Linked DNA regions of Caenorhabditis elegans. The protein of the gene in region 1 interacts with the protein of each later gene in a pairwise test. Each region holds a gene or a part of one and is shown in the gene's direction. Other genes may lie near its edges. The genes, in order: glh-3 and zyx-1.

Region 1 (5,393 bases):
TGTCAAATTATTTGAAGCAAAGGTCATAAAGTCATCATCCAACATAGGAACTCCAGGCAACACAGGAACACCAATGCAAAGAAACACACGATCGACAAGTTCAAAAACGTCATCATCATCGATGGAAAATCACAAAAGAACTAGAAAAGAGAATCAAATGTTGAAATTACAAGAACTTGAAGATAAGAGAAATAGAATTGTACGTTTTTCGTTTTTTTTGTGTTTTAGATACATTTTATTGATGCTTTTCCAATTGTGATGTTATATTTATATCATGTAGCTGGAGTTTTATTCTTGGAATGAAGTCCGCTAGTTTTGCTACTTGCATGGTTATTCTAAACTTTTATTTTTTCAGGATTACGACAACCTGCAAATCGGGAAAGTTATTACAGACGATAACAGAAGAAACTTTGTTCTTGCCACAGACAAAAAGATTACTACAAAAGCTCCATTTCAATGGGCACTTCTTGATCATATTGGTAGATTTAACTCTATTTTATTTGATGATCAAATGATCATTTTTCAGCATCTGGAAGCTTTGGTTCTGTACATCGTGCAATGGATATTGATTCTCATCGTGTCATTGCAGCAAAAGTCATGCGAATTCAACGCGAAAACCATAAAGCAATCGAATCGGAAATCAACATTTTCCGTCAATTAATTCATGAGAATCTTGTCAAATATTATGGTGTTCAAGTTGAAGACAGTGACGTCATCATATTCATGGAATATTGCTCACAGGGTACACTTGAACGAATTTGTCACGGAAAAATGGATTTGAAAATGGTTCGACAATATACGAATAGCTTGTTGCGGGCTGTACAGTATCTTCACTCTCATAAAATCATTCATCGTGATATAAAGCCAGCGAACATATTCCTCGATAAGTGTACCGTACTCAAATTAGGAGATTTCGGATGTTCTTCGCGACTTGTCGAGTCAAGTACAGTATACGGAGAGTTTCAAACAACTGCCGGAACTCCTCAATTCATGGCACCAGAAATTTATTCATATGGGGAAAAGGATGAAACAACTGGAAGCTATAGTGGTTACGGTAGAAGTGTTGACATTTGGGCACTTGGAGCTACCGTAGTCAATATGATGACTGGAAAAGTTCCATTCGAAGGACAAACTCGTCATCAAATAGCCTTCGCGGTATGTTTATTCTAGACACATGTAGATAGTTGAGTCTAAAGATAATAATTGTTGCCATCAATAAGTAAACTTTCAGCTTTGCTTCCGCAAGCAAAAACCAACTTATCCTGATATTGCCGACAAAAGACCAGATGTTAAACGATTCTTCGATAATTGCTTTGAATTTCTTCCAAATGATCGGCCTACAGCTGCGGAACTTCTTCAAACTACGTTTGCAAATGTTAATATAACGGTAATTATCAAGAATAAATAGAAAAATTAGTAAATTTGCAAGTTTCAGGACGAAAATCATATCCCGGACTATCAATCACAATCTTCAAAGGACAAATCGTCACCAAGCTCGTTTTTTCTAGTCTAGACGTTTTTGTATACTGTATTTTTTGTTAATAATAAAAATAATCTACCCGTAATCTCATCTTCGTGATAAAAATGTACCTCTACCTAACTGAAATTCACTTTGTATTTTTGTATTAAAGTTAATAAGAATAATTTAAATTGCCAATAAATACTCATTTTACAAATATTTCCAACGACAACAGGAGGTTTAGTTTGTTAGATTTGAATCGACATAAGACCAAAATTTCTGAATGTGAAAAGAGCCGGCTACTGTAAAATATGTTATGTGCAATTTTTCGTCAATCGTGCTGTTCTCTGTGCAACCCCGGAACAAATTTGAAATTTCATTCTTTTAAACAATTTTGCAAATCTTAAGTGTTTATTTTTATTTGGTGTTTAAAAACTAATTTATATGCTTATTTATCGTTTCTTGGAAACAAAACAACTTTACGCGCAAAATATTCTTTGCAGGTAAACGAAATCTTCCGATACTGGCTGGGGGATTAACTCTGGTTGTCAAAATAGAGTTAAACGGCACGGAATAATGGATAAAAGCCCAACAAAGACAAGTATCCGGACCAAATTCGCTAGACACCAGCCAATTTCTGATGTAGATACTACAGAACAATGTAGGTTTTCTGAATATCACTACCAATTCCCAACATTTATTTTTCAGCGAGTTCATGCATTAAAAAAGATGATCGAGGTCTCAGCAGTTTTGGAGTTCAATCATCAGTATTTTCTCGTCGTAGCTGTAGGATGTCTGAACTCGAAGCGAAACCAACAATAATTTCCGAAGATCAACGTATAGCCGTGCGCAGCGAGATTGGGGGCTCTTTTTCTGGCTTCGATGACAAAGTTGATAATGTTTTCCACTCAAATAATAATTTGCATGGATCACCATCTACAACGGAATTGGAATGTCCTGGGATAATGAATCCGAGATTTCTCGTGGGCAGATCTCTAAATTCTAGATCACGAGCAGTAACTCGTGGAAGCAAGAGAACCTCGAATGTCAAAGAAAATGAAGGTAAGTTTGGCAGGAATTTACTATCTGGTAAAAGTGTGGTCTTTGTATGAAGAATTATTTGAAATTAAGTACCGAATACAGATAATAGACAATTTCTCAAACTTTTTTCAGGGAGCATCCACCGTTCTGATGATCAAGTATCAACTGAAAACTGTTCGGCAAAAGATGAGGAACGTGACAGAGATTCCGGTGGTGTTTCAAGCTATGGAAACAAAAGAAGCGATGAATTCTGCGGTACCTCTCCAATCCTTGAAGCAAAAGGTTTTGGAATCAGCAATACATGTTTCAATTGCAAGAAGTATGGACATCGTGCAACAGAATGCTCCGCCCCACAACGTGAATGTGCTAATTGTGGTGATCCGAATCATCGTGCAAATGAGTGCGCAAGCTGGTCGAAAAACGGAGTTCAAGAGCCGACAAAGGTCACCTATGTGCCAGTCGTGGACAAGATGGAGGAGGTATTTAGCATGTTGAAGATTAACGCTGGAGATTTCTTTGACAAGTTCTTTGACGCTAGCGTTCAACTTGTGTCACGTGGACAGCCGGTCACCATTCAACCATGTAAAAGTTTTTCCGATTCCGATATTCCTCAAAGTATGAGAAGAAACGTGGAGAGAGCAGGTTATACCCGAACAACTCCGATTCAACAATATACACTTCCACTTGTTGCTGATGGCAAAGATATCCTTGCTTGTGCTCAGACTGGATCGGGCAAAACTGCAGCATTTCTTTTGCCGATTATGTCTCGTCTAATTTTGGAAAAGGATTTGAATTATGGAGCAGAAGGAGGTTGCTATCCACGATGCATTATTCTTACACCAACTCGAGAGCTTGCTGATCAAATTTACAACGAGGGCAGAAAGTTTTCCTATCAATCTGTTATGGAAATCAAACCAGTCTATGGCGGAATAAATGTAGGATACAATAAGAGCCAGATTATGAAAGGATGTACTATCATTGTTGGAACAATTGGACGTGTTAAACATTTTTGTGAAGATGGCGCTATAAAACTCGATAAGTGTCGATACCTGGTCCTAGATGAAGCAGATCGAATGATTGATTCAATGGGATTCGGACCAGAAATTGAGCAAATTATCAACTATAAGAATATGCCCAAAAATGATAAACGACAAACAATGATGTTCAGTGCCACATTTCCCAGCAGCGTCCAAGAAGCTGCTCGTAAATTGTTGCGTGAAGACTACACAATGATTACAATCGATAAAATTGGAGCCGCCAACAAATGTGTCATTCAAGAGTTCGAGTTGTGCGATAGAACATCAAAAGTGGATAAGCTTTTGAAGCTTCTCGGTATCGATATTGACACCTACACCACCGAGAAAAGTTTGTTTTACTTTCACTTTTCAATATCGTCATATATGTTTTTAGATTCTGATGTCTTTGTGAAGAAAACGATTGTATTCGTTGCTCAACAAAAAATGGCAGACACTCTGGCCAGTATCATGTCGGCAGCCCAAGTTCCAGCGATTACAGTTCGTTTGTATATTAGTAGTGTATTTCCATTCTTCTTTTTTATAGATTCACGGTGCTCGCGAGCAAAAAGAACGGTCGGCTGCTTTGAAATTGTTCCGAAGTGGAGCTAAGCCAGTGCTCATCGCCACGGCTGTTGTTGAGCGTGGTCTTGACATTAAAGGTGTAGATCATGTTATTAACTACGACATGCCAAATAACATTGATGATTATATCCATCGAATTGGCCGGTTGGTTATTTCCTGAAATGTTTTATTTTTTGTAATTACCGTTTTTCAGAACTGGACGAGTCGGAAACTCGGGAAGAGCAACTAGCTTCATATCATTGGCAGACGATGTTCAAATTCTGCCGCAGTTGGTGCGAACTCTAGCTGACGCCGAACAAGTTGTGCCAAGCTGGATGAAGGAAGCTGCAGGAGGGACCTCCAATCCTAATAAATTCGAAAAATCTATTGATACCGAGGAACCGGAGGAAGCTTGGTGAAGCAATGTATTCTAAATTTAATTTCTGCAAAATATCAATCTTGACGTATTATTTTTCTGATAATGTTCAGCCCCCTTTTATTCCCCAAAATATCTGATCGTCTTGGCATTTCAACTTTAAATTTCCCGAATTTTTAAAATATATTTTTTGTTGTTAGGTTTATATGTTCATTTTTGTTTTCAATAGTTGGAATGTTTATAAATTCAGATCAGTATTCAATCAATGTCTCGTAAATCTGATAAATTTTTGTTTTAATTAAAGCTTTCAAAATCTTTTCAGATGGACTCACTATCAGTTTTTTTTAACTTCTCAGTTGTCTTGGCACGATGCCCACTCGATAATAACTGGTCATCTGTTTATTCGTGACTCATAAATTTGATAATAGTGAACGCTGAGAACGTGTTTTTTAATGAATTTTAATATTTAAATTCAATCAATTCAAATAATTAAATCTCATTCATCTTATAATATTAAAATCTTATGTATATAAAAATTAAATTAAGTCAATTTGAATTTTACGAAAGAATTACTGTAGCACATGTTCTGTGTAACATCGCGTCGTTCATCATGTTTTGTGTGCATACACTAAGCAAATTCAAATTTCAAAATGCTTTAATTTCGAAAATCCCAAAATTTTAAAATCAGTTTTTAGAAATGTTTTGTCAGTTTTTTATTCTGTCCGTGTTGTTTTAGGGAAAATTCTTTCTTCCAATTTGAGTTTGAAAATGTTTTCGTTAAAAACAAGTTTGAAGAACCTGTAGTTAATAACTTTCGCCTGAGCATAATTACTTTCGCTCTTGAACTCAAGGGAACATTTCTAATTTTCAGACTTGCTGCCGTTGATAAAAGCATTCACCATGAACCTGAATGACCGAGTGGAAGGCATCGGTAATGAAA
Region 2 (5,068 bases), on another chromosome or scaffold:
GAGGAAGAGTTTCAGGCAGTTAAAATAAGTCGAAAAATACATAGACTCCTCTTTTCAATGTTTGTACACCAACTGTTTTTTGTTTCAATTTTTGTTTCTCACGAATTCCAGCCAAAAGTTTTTTTTCTTAAAATATTTTTTTTCTGTAGAAAAAAAAAAATATTAGGGAATGATCATGATTGCGCCCACGAAACCGCCCATAAAATTCCTGTGAAAAGAGAAGAAGAGAGGGTTGGGCACAACTATACCATCCATAAAACCACAGACTTTTTTTCGCGTCGGTTTTTTTCTTCTTTCCGCTCTTCCAATGTTTTATCGTTGTTTGCATGGCGTTCTGTGCTTCAAAGATGACAGTTTTTTTTGGGGTTGGAAGACTTTTTTGAATACAAAAATTCTTTGAAGTTAAAAACTTCAAAGTTCTCAAAATTTTAATTTTTTAGAATGGTCTAGAATCACATAAATCGAAGTTAATATTGGCTTTAAAATGGGAAAGATCGGCCACAAAACAATTAATTATAAAAAGGATGAAAAGGGGTCTTTTCATTAACTGTAAAAGGCTATTTTAAGATCATCTCTAGCAATAAAGAAAATATATGTTGATGGCCCAGTTTTCCCGTTTTTTTCTAGGCCAAGCCACAAATGACGGACAGTTTTGGGTTAGAAAGATTAAACTTCAATTTTCGTATAAAAAAAGTGCTCCAGAATAAAATTAGGCAAATTTCGGATTTGAAAAAAAAAATTCAAACCGAATGTGATGTCCTAGAACCCGACAAGGCCCACTTGAAAATATGACGTCACAAAAATATTCGTGGCCGAAAAAATAAGAAAACTCGGCTACGCTACAAACATTTTTTTTCTCGAATTGTATGTAGACGACACCTTATAGATTCAATCTGGAAAACTTTTTGAAAAATTTAATTGATGGCCGAGTTATCTGTTTTCTAGGCCACATCACAAATTTGTGCTTGATCTAAATCTGTGCTTTCAAATAGCAATTTAAAAAAAAAATCTGAAATATAAAACGATTAGGTTGAGCCGAAAGTCATGGCCTAGAACCCGAGAAAAATATACGTGGCCGCGAAAATGAGAAAACTCGGCCGCTAACACACATAGGGTAATTTCCTCGAACTCTAAATGATCTATTTAAGATCAAATTGCTAAAATATAAATAATGAGTTTTAGATTTTCTAGGCCACGCTGTGAACTCTAGGTTTTTGTATAATCTCCAACCATAACTTAAATATTGCCGGTCCCTCTCCCCTATAAATTATCAGCCACCAATTTCCTGTCTGCCACGTGGATTTCACACGAAATTTTTGATATCATCTTCCAATAGCAGATGTTGTTGCTTATCTCTTTTCCTCTTTGTTCATCGCTTATCCCTCGTTTTCGCTTTCCTTTTTTTGTAATCTCCCCCCCCCCCCTCCCATATCCTCTCTATTTTTCCTGCCATCAGTCGAATTTTGTGAGCCAAAGTGTAAAATGGGCTCCTGCCGGGATGAAGCGAGAGAGTCGTAAGGATGTGAAGAGACGCCGACGCGGTTCGCCCGGGGTTCCTGTGGCATGCAGCTCCTCGGGGTCCGTCGGAGCCCCCAAGACTCTAAACATACTAAACACCACACCGAGGCGCGCTCTCCAGACATTCTCTATCCATCCAGGTCGCACATCCTAATATGAGTTACCTCTCACCACTTCCTCATTATCCTAGTCAAAGGTATCGTTTTTTTTTCATTTCTTCATGTTTTTGTTGTGTTAAATTGTTTGCTCTGTGTCCTGACCTCCAACATATGTGTCTTTCAGCTTGGGTCGTGCTCGCTCCTTCAGCACTATTCCAGACTCGGCATCCGCTACTGATCTATGGGACCCCCGCCTCCGCCTCCACCACCCCCTCTACTCCCATCCGTAAGTTGAACTGAAATTGCAAAAGAAAATTGGAAAATGTTCTGAAATTTTTTTAGGCCAAAAGTTTGAAAAAAAATCAATGGCGTGGGAGAGAGGTTTAAAAATTATGTATGTTATCCATTACGGTAGCTCGATAAAACCCCCAAAAGCTCAGGGATTGTCAGAATTTCTTATTTCGATTTGATCTTCAAAAAGTGCGGGAGTTGAGACGCAGACATCTCATCTGATTTCGCAGATCTTGCTGACGTCACAATTTTTCTGAAAAAATTCCCGAATTTTTTGTAGATCACAATTTTTCCGAACAAAAAATTCCCGCATTTTTTGTAGATCACAATTTTTCCGAACAAAAAATCCCGCATTTTTTGTAGATCACAATTTTTCCGAACAAAAAATTCCCGCATTTTTTGTAGATCACAATTTTTCCGAACAAAAAATTCCCGCATTTTTGTAGATCAAACTGTAATGAGACATCCTGACATCACGTGGAAATAGACATTTCAAAATTTAAAATCTTGGCTTTTTGGAGGCAGATGGGTTTAATTATCGTTAATTTATTTCTGAACTGCCGGCTCTTAGAGTCGTTCTGAATTCTATTTCACTTCCCACGCTCTAGACAATACCCTTTCTATTAATTCAAAGCACATTTTGCATATGAAGGTAAACGATTTGCATACGGTAATTTATGTGCTCCTTCTAGCACCCCTGGGCATTTAATTATTCTCATTAATCACTTGAAAAACCATAAATTATTGCTAACCATAATCGTAGTGGCAAATTTTTTTTATCCAGCGGAAATGAGGGTTTTTTCGAAAAATAAAGAAAAAAATGACAGAATACATCCCCAATATACCATACATAACAGTAAAAAAAATTATAAAATTTTTGTAAATTTTTTATGATTTTTTTAAAATTTTGCAAAAATAATAAAAAGGGCCGAATGAAATTTAAATTCCCGCGCAACTGAGTGACGTCATTTTCGACATACCGTATATCTTCTATTAATATGGCCTCCCTATTAGACTTGCACTCCCTATTAGTATTGCCCCTCGGAGACCTTCCGAAAATTAGTATTGCACTCCCTATTAGTCTTGCACTCTCTAATAGTCTTGCGTTAACTTTTTTGTATTGCAAACCCGTCTCGCTAATTTCAGGATTTCAACAACATTTTTGCCTATTTTGCAACAGTTTTCACATCATTTCTACGAGATTGAAGTTTTTGAAATTATATGAAAATCAAATTTTCAGAATTTTTACATATGATTCGAGCTTTTTCAGGAAAAAACTAGTAAGCTCAAAGTCAGAAAATGTTCTGAAAATTAGTATTGCACTCCCTAATAGTCTTGCACTCCCTATTAGTATTGCAAGCGGGAAGACCATCGAAAAATAGTATTGCAGCTATATTAATAGAAGAAATACGGTATTTGTGTTTTCCCGCTATATTAGTCTCCATTTTGGCCAATTTCAAAGTTTAATCCAATTTCAGAGTTTTGGCAATTTTCTTTGCAATTATATAGTTTTCTTTACGGAAAAATTTCTGAAAAATTGGAAAATTAAATATGTTTCAAATTATAAAATAAAGAAAAAAAATAAAGAAAAACCCAATTAGTTTGGGCGTGAATGAAAAATTAAAATTTTTTTTAAATTTTAAACAGTTATAATCGGTATATTAGGACAGTATTCTGTCATTTAAAGCAAAAAATCTACCGACCTTTAATTAAAAAAATTGTTTTCCTCAAATTTGGCAGATTTGGTTAGTTTGAAAAATTTTACAACTTTGAGAGCCTATAACTCAGTTGTCGTTTGCTCTACTCAAAAATTGTCAACTGTCAAAATGTTTTTTAGTTCTTTTTCTACATTTTTTAGTTTGACAATTATTGGTATCTTGAAAAAGAACCAAGATATAGCGTTTCAAAGTAATGTAGTCGGGTGAAACTAAAATATGAAATGTGATATGATCTTATATAACTATTTACTTCCAAAAGTAAGAAATTAACTTCTAGGGAGAGATACTACCATCTCGCAAATGGAAGACAGAGGATGCACCACGACGTAACAACCATCCCGCACCTGCGCCGCCCAAGCCGTCCCGTCCCACAGTGGACGCTTCGGCACTACAGCACGCCGCAGCACGTCTGCGTAAGACCGGCTACAACGAACCGGTTCGAGGTGACGTCGAGAATCTATCCGATGGACGATTGGACCGACCGCATCAACAATTGCCTGACGGAGATCGGACGTATCGCGCGAACCTCCAACAATTGGCTCAGCCGAAAACCAGAGCAGAGGTGAGAGGGTTTTTAGAGAGGTTGCAGCCGACAACTCCCGGGCTGATGCGTCATTAAAATTCTGATAATTTTCAGATTCCTTCTCCGCCCACTTATTCCAACCAACCTCGTCCGCTCGGCGACTTTCATCGAGACCCCAATGCGTTAAGCCAATTCCAGGTACTACATTCCATCGGTCCTCATAAAAAAATCAAAAACTTTCCAGCAATCCCGAGAGGCTCTTCTATCAAGTACTTCCCCAACTTCAAACTATAGCCCAATCAATAAATTCTCATCATCCACTCTAACTCAATACGCAAACAAGTCCCCGTCGCCTCCATCATTTGGTAATAGTAATAGTGAGGCAACTTATGTGTCTCCATATTCTTCTAAACACTCATATCCTACAAACTTCCGAAGCTATCACAAGGACGACGATTATTTTAATAACACGGCAACTACGGCAACCACCACAACATCAAGCAATAGCTTAAACGAGAACAATAATTCGAATAAATATGGCAATAAGGAGACGGTTCTTCAGTGGTCGGAGCCCTACGATCCAAGGTAATTATTTTTTAGTTGTTGGAAAATTAACACTTTATGGTTAGCGCCCGACATTTTATGTATAGCGGCCGACACCTCATAGGTACCAGCCGACACCTCACAGGTATTTGGCCAAGAGGCTGACATTTAACGGGTATCTTTTGACAACTTGTGAGATGCGCTCGACACCTTACAGTTAGCGGCCGACACCTCGTGAGTTGCGGCTAGCATTGCATGTACAGCGACCGAATGGTTCTTAGGCCAATATCTGTGTGTTGGCCGACTGGGTTTTAGTCTACCTCGATTGAGTAATAGCCGACACTTCACTGGCATTGTTTGAAGCCTTATGAGAAGCA

What was found.
Region 2: the proteins of glh-3 (region 1) and zyx-1 interact in a two-hybrid assay, tested with the Caenorhabditis elegans proteins (one study listed by BioGRID).

What each region holds. Positions count from the first base shown.
Region 1 is NC_003279.8:5,791,684-5,797,076, reverse strand, and holds glh-3 (ATP-dependent RNA helicase glh-3), read left to right. Parts: upstream 1-1,962; 5' UTR 1,963-2,035; coding exon 2,036-2,120; intron 2,121-2,167; coding exon 2,168-2,521; intron 2,522-2,632; coding exon 2,633-3,865; intron 3,866-3,910; coding exon 3,911-4,014; intron 4,015-4,060; coding exon 4,061-4,242; intron 4,243-4,291; coding exon 4,292-4,496; 3' UTR 4,497-4,756; downstream 4,757-5,393. Other genes in the region: mtk-1 (Protein kinase domain-containing protein), read left to right, coding at 1-199, 356-479, 527-1,155, 1,232-1,387, 1,430-1,513; cpb-3 (Cytoplasmic polyadenylation element-binding protein 3), read left to right, coding at 5,354-5,393. UniProt on the Caenorhabditis elegans protein: Probable ATP-binding RNA helicase.
Region 2 is NC_003280.10:13,055,295-13,060,362, forward strand, and holds the start of zyx-1 (Zyxin), read left to right. Parts: upstream 1-1,857; coding exon 1,858-1,902; intron 1,903-3,504; exon of another isoform or gene 3,505-3,525; intron 3,526-3,902; coding exon 3,903-4,187; intron 4,188-4,262; coding exon 4,263-4,346; intron 4,347-4,392; coding exon 4,393-4,733; intron 4,734-4,762; exon of another isoform or gene 4,763-5,068. Other genes in the region: azyx-1 (Alternative N-terminal open reading frame of ZYX-1), read left to right, coding at 1,674-1,714, 1,801-1,902, 3,903-4,187, 4,263-4,335. UniProt on the Caenorhabditis elegans protein: Functions both as a mechanical stabilizer (via LIM domains) of focal adhesions, and as a sensor component for muscle cell damage (via N-terminus).